Arabidopsis thaliana: one gene and its partners. The protein of the gene in region 3 interacts with the protein of the main gene of each other region in a pairwise test. Each region holds a gene or a part of one and is shown on either strand. Other genes may lie near its edges. The genes, in order: AT3G54880, AT1G15350 and AT2G23070.

Region 1 (5,147 bases), on a different chromosome or scaffold from region 3:
TGTGGAGTATATGAGTAGTCAGTCTTTTTCTCATGATACAGTATATGGATATAACAAATAGATAGTTCATCATATCTGTAAATGTTTTCACAACTCCTAAAGATTTAATTTCATACCATAATTGAATCTCTCCTTTGTTCTTTGTCAATCTAGTTCGTGGCATTGTTAGATTCTTCTAATCGTAAAGGCCTTCATCGTACCAAATATCGACAAGAAAGTCCACCATCTCCTACATAAAGATCAAATGGAAAATTCAGGAATTGAGAATGATTGTAGGTTCCTTTTTTTAAGTCAAGGTAGATATTGGGATTAGATTAAAGCTTACGGGTAAAGGAATCGACTCAGAGAAAGGTTCATGAGTTGAGAGAAGATCTTCATATGTAGTAGACCAGCTGCAAGAGATTCAAGAACATCTTAGAAAACATTGCCTTCTTTGATTCTTTGACACTGCAAAAAGATTGTCAGATGAACTTAAAGGTTGATGAAACACATAATACCTTATAATCTGATCCTTTGCAGTGTTTTTTCTTTGTCGAGATTGATCTCCCACCCATTTTTCCCTGTTCTCTTGCCACATCTTTGCACCTGTAATCAAGAAAGATCCTTATAGATAGTGTTCAAGAACATCAAATATCAAATTACAGAGCCAACAAGTTAAAATATCCGGCGGTGTCACCCAAAAACAGAGGTAAGGTAACACAATGTGGCAATAATAAGAGTTAGTCATCTTCTTAAGCTGAGGTGTGGAATGTACCATGATTCACAAGTGTAAGGGTGTTTTCGCTGTTCGTTTTCACCGAGCTTTTCTCGTCTTTGACTAGTTTTGAAAGCTCAAGAGTAGGTTTGTTTTCGGTGGACAGACAATTTGCAGTATAAAGCTCCATTCTTATTCAATCGAATGATCATTCCTTTACGAATAAACCCGAGTATACCAATTCACATCCACATACAAAAAAACATCAAAGGTTTCCACACAAGCTGCTATAAAGAAACAACAAGAAACCAATTAAAACCCCATTTCAAAAATCATGAAAACTGTTACAAGAAAGGGTTGGTTTAATTTACCTCATTGACATTTTCATCAATCAGCTATGTGGAAAACCCTAGAAGATTCAAGAAAACAAAACATACCAGATTTCTCAGAAAACAATACGTTATGAAAGAAAGATTCAAACCATATACACCAAACTCATAGCAAAAGAAGAAAAAAAAACATCTTTCCTTTTTTAACGCATTGGGTTTACATTCATTAAAATCTTCATTCATCTCTAAGGCAACAAAACAGAGATTTTTCAATCAAAGAACTAGTTCTATCTCCTTAAGAAATGTATTGAGATTAAAACAATGGCATTTCCGGTGAAGAATATATTTTTAAAGATCCAAATAAAACAGATCAGAAGCATTCAAGATCCAAAAAGATTCTAAGGAGAAACCAAAATTCATGATAGAAAGAGAAAGTTTGCTACATAAGAAAAGTAGAGGATAGAGGAATGATTACCTTAATGAGGAAAGTATCAACAGAAAATTTGGTAGAGGGATTGAAACTGCATTATATGTTTTCTTTTAGGTTTTATATGTAAAGGAAAATTTTAGATCTTGAGTAGGCAATGAAAAATCAACTAAAAATAAATTTTAAAAAGGAATAATTTATGAGCCAAATATAGAATTTAAAAATTAATTAAAGGAGTTTACTTGTAGTTGGTAATGAGTAAATAATGTATGTATCCACTAGAATACAGATATATCTTTGGGTCAATGAGACAGAAAAAATTAAGCATGCCCCACGCAGCTCAAGTTTCTATCTCAATCTTACGTGGATATGATTAGGAAGATAGCTCCATTCTTTATTATATTGGAAGAGAATGGTGAAAATTTTGTCACATGTCAAATCTAAAGTTTTCTTTAAGTTTTTTGAAATATAAAATAAATTATTTGAAATTCTGATTACTTGATTTTAATGAATTAAATTGAGAAAATCATATAATAATAGAATACTAAGCCATATATGAATTAAAATCTGTAAACATTAATGTGGTATTGATTTTTCTTCAAATTCTAGCTCAATATATAATTAAGGGAACCATTGAATGTCAAAGATGTTATTTTCTAGAACTATGTCTCATTTAAACTTTATAGTTGAGAATATAAAAGGAAGACAAAACTTTCCAAGACTCTGTTTAGAGAGTACTCTATTTTGTAGGTGAAGATTAGTATGCAAAAGAACAAAAGAAAAATTAGTAGAAGTATAGAACAAATGTGATAAGAAAGACATCAACTAATTTCAAAAAAAATCCTTAAATGATTTTACTAGAAAAGAGAGGGAAGAAAATTAACAGGATTGTTTTTGTTCAATATGAAAAAATGTAGAAGGTAAAAATGAGGGGGAAAAAAGATGAATAGAAAATATTCATCAAAACTCAAATGTAAAATGCATGTATCTTGGTGTGGTTCAATAACCATTTATCTAAGTTGATATAAACAAAAAGCATATTTGGATAGAGTTGAGAACTCTAACAAATAATCATGAGCTAACAATGTTTCTTCTGTTATGGAGTTTATAGTATGTGAATGTGATTGTTGAGAAATCTAACAAATAGTCATGAGCTTACAATGTTTCTTCTGTAGGAAGCATGAGATGTAATGTGTATTTGGGTTCAAAAGGTTCATCACTTAGAATTCAAGCTCACACGAGCATTCGATCACCAAGACAAATTACAGGAATTCACAAATCTGTCTTTCATTACACAGTGTTTTTGATACACATAAAGCTCATAAGGTACACATATTTCTATTTTTACATTCATTAGTTGAAAGGGATAACAATATCGCCAATGTTGTTGTGCCATGGATCCGCCAAGTGAGTTGCCAAGTTCTCCAATGGTCCTGTCCCCGGGTAAGCCGACTGTTGCACACAGAATCCTACAAACGCCAACAGCGCAAGCCGCCCTGTTACACCCACCAAGCAAAAAACACCAACATTAGATATACATTTGTACATAAGTTTGATCAAGAAAGGTAAGTTGTTGTGTGTGCTTACCGTTCTTGATCTCTTTAACTTTCAATTCCTCGAGCTTCTTGGGGTCCTTCGAGTATCCAAGAGGGTCAAATGCGCCTCCCGGGTACTTCTTCTTCTCAGGGTCTTTCTCCATACTTCTCTGGTGCTCAACAAATGCAATGGCTAAGAACTCAATGGCCAAGATTGTGGGCAAAGTACCCCACGGGACTGGGTTTCCCAAGTAAGTGGCTTGACCCCCTGGTAGTGCTGCCCATTCCTGAGCCTTAACCCAGTTTCCATATCCTAATGCTTCTGGTACCAAAATCCCAGGCTACAACACCACCCACCAAGTCCATTAGATTAAACTTAACAAGACTAAACCCTTATGATAAGACAAAGATTGGATATTGAAACTTACAACAGCGAGCATAGCCCATCTACAGTGGATGAGCTCTGACTCTTTGTATCTCTCAAGGTTCGCTGGAACTTCTCCAAGTCCAAGTGGGTCAAACCCAAAGTCACTGCACAATGTTGTACCCAATAACTTAGAAAAACTGAAACTTTCTAAACAACCTCCAATGTTGAAATCAGAACCCTTAAGTCATCAAAAGAGGTTCCAGTAATCTATCTAGAATCTCTGAATACACAACTAAAGGGAATTCAAATTCTGAAAGGAGACAACTTTCTGAAATATGAATACCCAATAACATAAAAAAAATTGAATCTTTCACAAAACGTACAATGTTGCATCATGTCATCAAAACAGAGTAATCTAACAAACAATTCTGATTCCAAACTGAGCAACAAAACAGAGTAAAAGGGTTCGAAGCGTACCCAGGAGCAGAACCGTCAAGGTAAGCTGGTCGTGGCTCGCCAGGCATCCAGTGAGCAGCCATTCTGATACGACCAACATTCCCGGCGTTTGGGAGTGGAACTCCGGCGGATACGAATTTAGACTTGGAAGAAGAGAGAAGCGAAGGGTACACGGCGGCTATGCCACAGCTCATAAGCGAGTTCGACGCCATCGTTTCTCTCTATCTGTCGTTGTGTTTGCCACCAAAGGAGAAAGATGTGGACGAGAGGTGTTTGGTGGAAGTGTGAATGTGGGAGACTGATCGTATAAGTAAGATTTGTGAGATGAGAATCTAAAACCAGATTGCAATTGGCTATACAGAGCCTGCGTGGCTTTTTCATTGGGCCACGTGTCTTCTCGATATCATGTTCTTCTGTTCGATATCCATCTGCACTATGTGGTTCAGATAAAAGCAGAATCTACGTATATTACTATTTTGCCATTTATCCACTGCAACGAGATGCTATCAGATAAGTCTTCCTGTTCGGTGAAACACATTTCTACTAATGTTTTAAAACTTGACCCGGACCGGTAAATCTGCGATTGGTCATGAATCCGGTCTGGATTTATTGCTAAGACTGGAGACTTATCAAACCGGTAAAACTTGGATCAACGAACACATGCGAGGCTAAATCATATGTCTTGAAAGGAGTATCTAACAAACGATACATTTTGAGACAACGTGTTTAGACATTGAAGTGAGACAGAATACCATTTGCAGACACACTGTACCGGTGAATGTTCAGAATCTTTGGAACTAAGTTTCTTTAAATTGTATCTCAATCAGGATATGAATGAGCATAACAACCCATGACTTCATGTCTCTTAGTCAGAAACAAACTTAGATTCTACTAGCACTACTTCACACATAAACCTTTCAACAAACAACACAAATTTGCAGGCCAACACATATGACAAAGGAAACTCAAATTCCAAGCAACTCCAACTGTTGTATACCTAAATCCATCATACAATATATGTCTCTTAATGTTACAACCACAAACTCTGAAACATCAAAATCACATTTTTTTTCCCAGGTGATAGATAGATAGATAAGATCAAATTCCATCATCACAAAAACCAAGTATTGAAATCAGGATCAAGAGCACATAGCTTTCTCCACCTCTTCCTGCAATTCTCCAGTCTTAAACGCCTCAAGAGTAATATCACAACCACCGAAAAACTCACCGCCGATATAAAGCTGAGGAAACGTCGGCCAATTCGAATACTCTTTAAGTCCTTGCCTCAACATCTCATTCTCCAGAATATTCACATCTTCGAAAGGAACATTCAGATTCT
Region 2 (5,147 bases), on a different chromosome or scaffold from region 3:
ACTTAAATTACTTTATCTTGAAACAAATTTCGGCTTTCTTTCCTTTCTGGTAATAGAAGCTGTAAGAACCGTTGTGACCCTAATGGATATGTTTGCGTGTCTCTTCTGTTCTGTCCTAATTTTTTTTATTCTTTTTTTATTTCAAACAAGAAATGATATTTCTTCCTCCACGTAATCCACGAGAGCGTGGATGATAAATTTACACTGGGTCGACGTGATAGTTTAGTGACAGACCTCTTTGAGAACGACACGTATCCAGTGTGGTCGACGTTTCATCGATGGATAAGGAAGTATCTGTTTCCCGCTTAATAAAGTAGAATGGAGAGTGGTGTTGAGGTCCGGTACGTGACCGCTGCTGTTTTCACGCCGAATATTCTTTTTCTGTTTTATTCCCACTCTCCTACTACTACTCTCCATGCTAAAAGCCCAAATCAACAGCCCAATTACTATTCGGAACATTTTTTTTGCTTTGATACTTTTAGGTTCAGATTCTCTTGTTGGCACAAGTCTAATCCCTAATAATTAGTGAAGAGCACTAATTTAAGGAATGTCCTCTAATCATTTTATTAAAATAAAATGTACATATATGTGGAAATCAAACACTGGACAGATCACCTGGAAGGTAGGATCAATGTGCAAGTGGGACATGAGACACAAGAACATGTCCTTAACAAAACAAAACAAAAATACACAAGAACATGTCCCATATTAAGATACTGATTAGTCAAACCGAGATATTGCTCTTAATTCTTTTGGACTGAAAGATGGTAAACAAAGGATATTTCTCATTTACGGTGAAAACGTATAAGCCACATTTCCCAGTATTCTCGATCAACTCCAAATGGAAGATGATAAGTGGTAACAACAAGGGCTTTGAGAAAAGAAAAGAAAACCGAAAAGAAAAAATAAATCAGAAATGCCCGAACCAGTATGTGTGTGTGTCTTCCAAGTCTTGTTCAGTCATATAGACCTTCTTGTTCCCAAATGTCCACTAGAAAATCCACCATTTCCTGTTTTCAATCAGTAACACAGTTAGTTGACTGGGTTTTTTTCCTGCACTCGGAGGAGTTTGATTACTTACGGTGAGAGGAATGGGTTGGGGAAATAACTTGTTGCTCCCCAGCAAGCTATCATACGTTGCTGTGTTCCAACTGCAAATGATAGACATATAAAATGTAACATTGCCAGACTTTAGCCCTTAGCTTTCAGCAAACAATAGTGTGTAACAGAGCCACTCACTTTAACTTGGCTCCTTGATTGTGATCCACCGGGTTGTTGGGTTTATCCTTTCCCACCCAACGCTCCCGTGTCTGATTCCAAAGAAGAAGACCTGCAAACACACAAACCCACTTCATATATAACCATCACAAAACACTAGACCACAACGCTCCCCTTCCGTGAAATCCAAAAAAGAAAGTACCTTGATTTACATATTCAGGAGGAGCATTAGAGTTTCTAGCAGCAGATTGAGAATCAAAAGTCTGATTGGATGATGATAAGCTCCCCTGTGAAGGGAAGGTGATGTTGTCCATATCAACTGTGCTTGTTGACCAGAAATCTTCAGAGACACTCGGTTTCTTACACGGTCGAGCAATGGAATTGGAAGGTGGATCCTTCAGACTGGCGGCAGTTGATCTGTGTTCTCTGTAGCAACCCACGCAGCCACTGCTCTGTTACAAAACCATAACTTTTGATCATTGCCCAAAAAACATCCTTATTTCCTTAGCAAAACATTTTTCTATAAAACTTTCAGAGATAGCTATCTCATCTGCATAAAACAACCTTATAAACACCATTCCCCAGCAATAAAATTAGGGTTTATCTATCATGAACATGAATCCCAAGCAGCACATAACGCAGGAACAAAGCCCATCAAACAGAATCTCAAATCCAAATCAATCAAATACCAAAACATTCTGCATAAAGTCAAAAACAGAAATCGGAAGAAGAAACGCACCCCATCGATATGTGAAGGAAGCGATTTATAAACCCAGGAGCTCAGATAGATCTGGGAAAGCTCGAGATGTTCTCAAGAGGGTGATCAATGATCCTTGTCAAATAACAAACCAATTAACCAACCCTATTATAGATAAAAGCCAAAGAAGAAACCAATCAACAGCGAACAAAAACATATTCAATATATACAAAAGAATCAACGAATCAAACAGCTTTGCTTACCTGATGATAAAATCTCGTTGGTTAAAATAAAGTCGCTTCCTTTATCAACTGGGCATCAAAAGAATCCTTATCTGAGGCTGCAGCTCCTTCTCGAACAAGAAGAAGAAGGGCTTTGCCCTCTTTACGTTTCTCCTTTTCCTTTCGCTTTGAAATGATTTGCCTTTGTTTCGATGACCAGAGAAGTTATTATTCATCCCCCAGCCGTTATACGGATCTCTTGGCATTGAGGGTATTATTGTAATTTTAATCAACCAAATCAAAGAACTTGTAATAATTCGAACAACTTGATAATTGACGAATGTGTATAATGTATATAGATAGTGTGTTTGGTATGAGCTTATTATTAAAAGTCAAAATAATTGTGCATCTTCCATGCCTCTCCAATCCATTGTCTTATAATCAACCCCACTCATCATATTTTTCCCATACAGCTTGTATTCGTAATACATTATCATTTTCTATAATGAAATAAATAATAGTCTGGAATCAAAGCATAGAAGAAAACTGTTAACCATTAGCGTAAGAATACATTAAGCATTAAGGATGCAAATAAAGATAGTTGTTTAAATGTCAATACATAACTCTCATGATTACAAAAACATTGTTTGCTTGCAGCAGCAGCCACACTTTCTCCATTTGTAGAGCAACGCAAGTCACACACTCACTTTGAAAATACTGAGCACAACCAAGTCCACATGCAAGTGCAACACTTCTTCTTCTTCTTCTCCTTTTTATTCTTCTTCTTCTTGTTCTTTCTTCTCTTCTTTCTCTTCATACTCTTTTTCTCACCCACAGGAAGGGAAAAAGACACAGGTTTTGTCCGCGGCGCGTATAAGCAATAGAAGTTGTTGGGGATACTACTCAATGGGACATCTGGAAATGACGGGTATTTCTCTCGATGATTGTGACTCTGAAGTCTTGTTTCTTCATTATTCTTTACCTCTTCCACTTCAGATGTTTTCTCTTTTGCATCCTCAGGTTTGACTACCAGAGAAGGGGAATATCTCAAGAACTCACCCGACATCAAAACTTCATCAGGTTTTAAATTACTGTGACGAGACCCTTGAGCGTTTGACTTTCTATAGCCATCAATTTTCAGACTAAACAAAGACTCATTTGATATTTCGCTCCAATCCACATCCCCATTCTTACTAAACACCGATGCAGGGATTCTCCCGGGATCGTAATTCGCTATACCATTATTCATCAAGTGAACTGGTCGTAACCTAGAAGGCGGAGATGGAGCTGGTTGCATCCTGAGATGAGTCAAACCAGATATTTCAGAGCCTTGAGAAGAAGAAGAAGGCTGCATCCTGACATGAGTCACACCTGATATGTCAGAGCCTTTAGAAGAAGAAGCATTTGAAAGTTCCCAATTCTGCTGACTCGTATCCTCAGAAGATGCTTTGGACTCTTTTGTACTTCTCTCTACGGCATCATCCCATGAAACAGAGGAAGACATTGAAGAAAAAGACAGAGATGATGATGTTAGGAAGATTTCCCTCGCAGGTCTTGTAATCATTCTGTTACCACTCATACTCACATATAAAGCTCTTATCAGTTCACTTTTCCGGTTGTTAATCTTTCAAAACATTTCGCAGTGATTCACGGATTCGATTCCATGGCTGATAAACTATGAAAGCAATTAATTTTTCTTACATGAACAGATGATGTTCTAGTCCCACCGATACTACAACTTCGGTGAAAGCTGGATCCTTGAAGCCATTAGCACAAGCAATATCCACTCTTTTGCATCCAAGCACAGTGCCAAGATAATTTGGACAAGACTAATCAAAGATGAATCCAATATTGCATAATTCTTGGTGTCTTGTGAATTCGACCTATTGGAGACGGAAACATGTCATTTTCATTCGGTTCTTAAGGAACTAGAAAATGAAAAACAAAACAATTTATGGAGAAGTTTTGAAAGTGAACACAAAACAAACATCTTTGAATTTAGTAAATTTGAACGAATGGCCGTTGATCAGAGTTGAATACAGAAGAAGGAAACGGTTTCTTGTGGAGAAATTTAAGGTGGCATTTGCTGGCATTTGATCACTTCTATTTCGGGGTTGACTGTTCTTCGCGCCGTTGCTGTAAAACCTAACTTCTTTACATTCATTGTGGACATCAGTATGGCCCAATAAAGGCCCATTTTGAAATAATCGGGCTATTTGGTCCACACATGAGGACACGTGCATACGTAAGAGAGTACCAGAAAAGGAGATTCATAAACCCGTTAAATTCGCGGTTAGGAAACTTTTGCCTTTTGGTTGAAACATCGTTGGCCTCTTGCAAGTTAATTTTCTTATTCTATCGACTATTTCGGACATTCAATCACGTGATTTTCGTGTTTGAAAAGATCAACAATTTTTTTTTTCGTTAAAATATCTGGCATTTAAATAAACACTATACGTAAATTTTAGCAGTATGAAATTAACTAGGCTGATGGATTCGAAAAATAATACAATAAAACCAAAAAGAAAAGAAAAACATGTATTCCAAATTACAGGAGTACTATCATCAATCATTCAATCTTTAAGTAGCTACAAAAGTCTACAACAAAAATAAAGAGAAACAAAATAATAATTTAAAGGCTAGATAATTGAAAGGAATAGTGATATGCAAGTTCCAAACACAAGTATGAACAAGAGTTAATGGAAGAGACTATAATTATGAAATATCGGTCATGGACTCAGGGAAGTGGGGACCCTATGATAACAAGCCACCACCAAATTAGCACCTCAAAAACAAAAATGTATAAACCATATTATATTGTATATTAAATATAAGCATACATTAGGTTAAAGATGTTTGCTCAAAAATTAAAAGCAAATAGATATGAGATTGACACCTAAACAGCCTTAATCTGGACCCAATCTGACAGTTAGGGCTTAGGCTATGGGTACGACAATCAACTAGATATGTGGACAAAACATTCTACTAATTACACAATATACATGTACATG
Region 3 (5,147 bases):
AGAAAATCTTTAGAAAGATATTAAAGAAAAATTGTTGCTTACCATTGCTTCTTTAGCTGTTGGCCTTTCTTGGTGATCATATCTCAGCAACTTGTCCACAAAATCAACAGCCTTCATTAACCAAAAAGTATATGAAAACAAATGAGTCATGTTCGTCCAAAAAATCCGGTGTTTTGGTCTTAACATGAAGGCTTCATAATTGTATAGAGAAAAGTTAAGTGTTGTACCTCAGGAACTGCTAAGTGCTGGTTTTCAGAATTGATGAACTTTGTCCATGGCTTCCGGCTATGTCTATATAAAATCAAGAGTGCATAATTTAATGTTCTGAAATGATAAGGCGCAAAACTGGAGTTTTTAGAGTTTTTCATAACTTTTTAAACCGGATTACCTGCCCACGAGGGATGTTAGATTAGGGTCCAACTCTATACGGTATTTGTTTAGGTAGGCGTTGAGTTCATCTGTGCCAAGCACCTGCCATAGTTATAAATACATAGAATCGTATTTTTAGCTATAACTTGGAGGAATGTAAAATCTGTTCAGAGGAGACGAGACATGATGAAAGCTTTTGTAATGTTACCTTCGCAATTTTGACCAATTGATCATAGTTGTCATGGCCATAAAAGAACGGCTCCTTGCGGAATATCTGCAAACAGTAGAGTATACAATATTCACCACTTAACTAACTTAAGGAATGGTAAAATAACCAAAATGTACTGTCGAATTCTTGTCATTCCATTACAGCTTAAACCAAGTTAACTAAATTCTAGCTTAAAACGCTTACCATTCCAGCAAACATACACCCAAGACTCCATAGGTCTAAGGAATAATCATAGTCCTGTAAATCCACCAGCAGCTCTGGACCCTTAAAGTACCTGCTCATCAAATATGAAGTGAGAAATGATAATAGTATACATCAGCTAGACGAAGTTAGATAATATGTTTCAACTAATCTCAAGAGCTCAATGCATGCAATCTTCAACATTTCTTATCTAGACTCTCTATGAGCAGAAATTTAGCAACTGCAACAAATAGAATCTTGCAGAGGAGAGATTAGCAGATAGCCAAAAGGAACTACCTTGAAGCAACACGGACATTGTATTCTTTCCCAGGATGATAGAATTCTGCCAAACCCCAGTCAATTAAACGAAGTTTTCGCTGCTCGTGATCAATCATGACATTATGTGGTTTCACATCTCTGTGCATGATTCCACGTGAATGGCAGAAATCCAACGCCTGCATAAATGTTAAAAAGAAACAACAAACAGCATCAGAAACAAATTCGTACCCTTTATAACTGAAGGCTAGTGGATTCAAAAGTCAAGTAAGGTAAACAACAGTGTATGACGCTATACATCTATGATATATCTACCGATTACTTTTGCCAATTGCCAAAGCCGCAAAGAAAATCATGGTCTACAATTCAGGAAACTGAATAATTACCTTTAGAAGTTCAAAAATGTAATATCGAACATCATAGTCTGAGAGAGTTGGATAGAGAACTTTGAAATCTTTATTGTTCACATGTTCAAATATCAAGCTGGGCGTCTTAGACTGCTGATCTCTAACAATGTCGAGCAATTTTACAATATTAGGCCCACCGCAGAGGTTCTGCAGAATCTTAATCTCTCTCTTAATCTGCGTCAAGGAGAAGCAAAATATGTTAGAGAATAATTCAAACCAAGTGAAGGGCCAGAAACACACTTCATTCTGAGCACAATTGAGATAAAAACAAGCAAGCGGCTGTATCTACTCACCTTCTTCTTCTTCACAGGCTTCAAAATCTTGATAACACATTTCTCGTTATCAGTAGCATGAATGCCTTCAAAGACCTCACTGTATTTTCCCCTTCCTACCTTCCTCACCACCTCATAATCATCCTGTACACTGCGGCATCAATGAAGCTAACTCAAACACTAATACACCAAACAGTAACAACACCATACAAACTCAAGATATCAATTCAACAATCTAGTTCACATAGACCAGCAATTTTCAAGAGATTATATACAAACAAAACAGATACCAATACAAACAAATCAGATACCAATTCTGCATTACTTACGAGATTATATCATCAATCAAAAATATGAAACGAAACCCTAAATCTACATTCCACATTGATTCCAGAACAACCAATCCCAAACCAATCTATAACCAAAGGCAAACATCTAGAAATCGACGTAATTAGGTTTAATTAGAGAAGAATCTGAAGATATACCCCCATTGAACAGCAAGGGACTCGTAATCCCAATAGTCCTTAGGTCTAACAACGTTGACATCAGCGTAAACCCTAGCTTTCGACGGCGCACCGGCACGCCGGATAGATTTACCGATCTTCTGAGCCAGCGTTTCTGATTTTTCTTTCACGCGCGATTGCTGTTGTTGCTGATGTTGTTGTTGTTGATTCCGGAGATGTTGACGGTAAAGAGAAGCGCTGGATGCGAAACGACGGAGATTGTCCTGGAGCGAAGAGAGAAGAAGATTCCTCTTCGCCGGAGACGACGAAGAGAAGGAGAGGAGAGAGAAGAGATTGTTGTTGGCGGCGGAAGCGTTGCGAAGAGAGGAGATTGTGAATCCAGTACAAGGCCTTAAGGCCATTAATGTCTTTTTTTAACTCTTATTCAGAAAATGAAAAGTGAAGGTAACGAATTTGCTTTATTTCTCTCCTTTCTTTTTCTTTGGCTTCTCTTCGAAACGATGTCGTTTAAACAATTCGGTCCGGTTATAGTGTGATTGAAATCGATCCGATTGGGTTTGTTTCGGTTCGAGTGTGGTTGAATCGGTTCGATTTGGTTTAGGTGGTTTTTGGGTATCAGAGATTCTTCTTCAACCTTTTTCTAATCCTGCACAACGCACTTCTTCTGTTGTCATCATCATCGTCCACTTGAAACAAACCTGACGATCAAAGAGAAGATTGCGATCGCAAATTTCTCCATTTTTTCAGATCGAAATTGATGTCGAAAGCTAGGGTTTATACAGATGTTAACGTTGTTCGTCCTAAAGAGTATTGGGACTACGAGTCTCTCGTTGTTCAATGGGGGTAAAACTTCTAGCTTTAGAATTTTTCTTTGATGAATTTACGATTTTTGACTTCTTTTTGATAAATTTTCGGTGGAATTTGATTGATTTGTTGCCAAATCGAATTCGAAATCAGAGAAATTGGAATTTTTTAGGGTTTGGACTTAGGTCTCTTGAAGACACTTTGTTTTAAGTATCTATTAGCAAATATTGGATTTTGAAATTCAACAGTGTGAGATTCTTAAATACTTTTGTGTGATTCTTCAGTCATCAAGATGATTATGAGGTTGTGAGAAAAGTTGGTAGAGGAAAATACAGTGAAGTTTTCGAAGGCAAAAACGTCAATACGAATGAGCGTTGCGTTATCAAGATCCTCAAACCCGTAAAAAAGAAGAAGGTGATCAGTTAGTAGAACTCATTTCTGATGAATTTGCATACATAAAGATGGCTAATTTTGCTGAAACTTGATGTTATGCAGATAAAGAGAGAGATCAAAATACTTCAGAACCTATGTGGTGGACCAAATATTGTTAAGCTGTATGATATTGTTAGAGATGAGCACTCCAAAACACCTAGCTTGGTATTTGAGTTTGTCAACAGTGTGGACTTTAAAGTATTGTATCCAACATTGACTGATTACGATATCCGGTACTATATTTATGAGCTTCTGAAGGTAATGTATCGGTATTTACCATAAATGACTTTTACCGTACATACAAATGTTTATCGTGGAATCCAGAGCTGATGTTATTGCATTTCAGGCATTGGATTTCTGTCACTCTCAAGGAATAATGCATAGGGATGTTAAGCCTCATAATGTCATGATAGATCATCAGCTGCGTAAACTTCGTCTGATAGATTGGGGCCTTGCTGAGTTTTACCATCCCGGAAAAGAGTATAATGTTCGCGTGGCCTCGAGGTAATATCCGATACCACAGCTTAATTCCACCTGTCTTGGCAAGCCTAAGAGGGTCATTCGTAGATGCCAATGATTGAAACTTTTAGCTGTGCAATCAAAGCTTCTTGTAGTTGTTAAATGCATTAGACTAAAAACCTGTGAATTAATTGCCAGATACTTCAAGGGTCCCGAGCTTTTAGTTGATCTACAGGATTATGACTATTCTTTAGACATGTGGAGTCTTGGTTGCATGTTTGCTGGCATGGTGAGAACTAATAATCCCCTCACTCTTCTCTCTAGCTTCAATGCTGAAGCTATTGCAAGCATTTGAATTTCCGAATGGTAGTCGTTAATACTTTGCTGTTGCTTATTCACTTGTCAAATATTGATGCTGCAGATATTCCGTAAGGAACCGTTCTTTTATGGCCATGATAATCATGATCAACTTGTCAAAATTGCCAAGGTATATTGCTAGTCTATGACTTATTGGCATAAAATTACATTGTAAACTTAAATCCATGTATATGATTTCTGATTGAAACGTGTGCATAGGTGTTGGGAACCAATGAGTTAGATCATTACCTAAACAAATATCAGCTAGATCTTGACCCTCAACTGGAAGCACTTGTTGGAAGGTTTTATTCCATCCCTGAATCTCTCTGTCTTTAAAAGTCAAAATTGTTGCTGTTCTCAACTCTGGCTCAGTTAATTTTATACCAATGAGTTAAAACCTGAAGTCACTCTTATTTGTAGACATGTCCCCAAACCATGGTCCAAGTTTATCAACGCGGACAACCAACATTTGGTCTCACCTGAGGTACTACTCTTTTTCGAAAAACATAGTTTTGCTTCGTTCTGGGTGTATTGACTCATTGTATACATCTTTAGGCAATTGATTTTCTCGATAAGCTTCTTCAGTATGATCATCAAGACAGATTAACCGCAAGAGAAGCCATGGTAAAAATCCTCTTCATGTGCACACATCTTTTGATTTTGTTTTACCCGATGATCTTCATGTGCACACATCTTTTGATTTTGTTTTACCCGATGATCAAGTCAAACTTATAATCTCTGGTTTCTCTATTGATCTATAGGATCATCCATACTTCGCTCAAGTTAAAGCCGCAGAGAGCAGCAGACTACGAACTCAGTAAAACCGAAGCTTGATTGATGATGCTTACTACTATTTTTCAACCAAAAACTTTGTAATGATTTTGTTGTATCAAAATTG

The links.
Region 1: the proteins of AT2G23070 (region 3) and AT3G54880 interact in a two-hybrid assay, tested with the Arabidopsis thaliana proteins (one large-scale study listed by BioGRID).
Region 2: the proteins of AT2G23070 (region 3) and AT1G15350 interact in a two-hybrid assay, tested with the Arabidopsis thaliana proteins (one large-scale study listed by BioGRID).

Annotation. Positions count from the first base shown.
Region 1 is NC_003074.8:20,336,903-20,342,049, forward strand, and holds the start of AT3G54880 (zinc finger protein), read right to left. Parts: upstream 1,697-5,147; 5' UTR 1,499-1,696; intron 1,104-1,498; 5' UTR 1,066-1,103; intron 979-1,065; 5' UTR 885-978; coding exon 755-884; intron 586-754; coding exon 498-585; intron 393-497; coding exon 326-392; intron 230-325; coding exon 176-229; 3' UTR 1-175. Other genes in the region: LHCA1 (chlorophyll a-b binding protein 6), read right to left, coding at 2,804-2,946, 3,038-3,326, 3,414-3,516, 3,830-4,020; CXIP1 (CAX interacting protein 1), read right to left, coding at 4,948-5,147.
Region 2 is NC_003070.9:5,277,525-5,282,671, forward strand, and holds AT1G15350 (DUF4050 family protein), read right to left. Parts: upstream 2,427-5,147; 5' UTR 2,179-2,426; intron 2,081-2,178; exon of another isoform or gene 2,051-2,080; 5' UTR 1,963-2,050; coding exon 1,958-1,962; exon of another isoform or gene 1,783-1,957; intron 1,671-1,782; exon of another isoform or gene 1,666-1,670; coding exon 1,421-1,665; intron 1,331-1,420; coding exon 1,240-1,330; intron 1,152-1,239; coding exon 1,082-1,151; intron 1,011-1,081; coding exon 957-1,010; 3' UTR 589-956; downstream 1-588.
Region 3 is NC_003071.7:9,824,274-9,829,420, forward strand, and holds the start of AT2G23070 (Protein kinase superfamily protein), read right to left. Parts: upstream 2,626-5,147; 5' UTR 2,599-2,625; coding exon 2,219-2,598; intron 1,885-2,218; coding exon 1,755-1,884; intron 1,636-1,754; coding exon 1,441-1,635; intron 1,234-1,440; coding exon 1,076-1,233; intron 873-1,075; coding exon 782-872; intron 644-781; coding exon 578-643; intron 472-577; coding exon 389-471; intron 292-388; coding exon 228-291; intron 112-227; coding exon 43-111; intron 1-42. Other genes in the region: CKA3 (Protein kinase superfamily protein), read left to right, coding at 2,955-3,040, 3,286-3,415, 3,497-3,691, 3,780-3,937, 4,091-4,181, 4,314-4,379, 4,469-4,551, 4,670-4,733 and 2 more. UniProt on the Arabidopsis thaliana protein: Casein kinases are operationally defined by their preferential utilization of acidic proteins such as caseins as substrates. The alpha chain contains the catalytic site. Involved in the regulation of various developmental processes.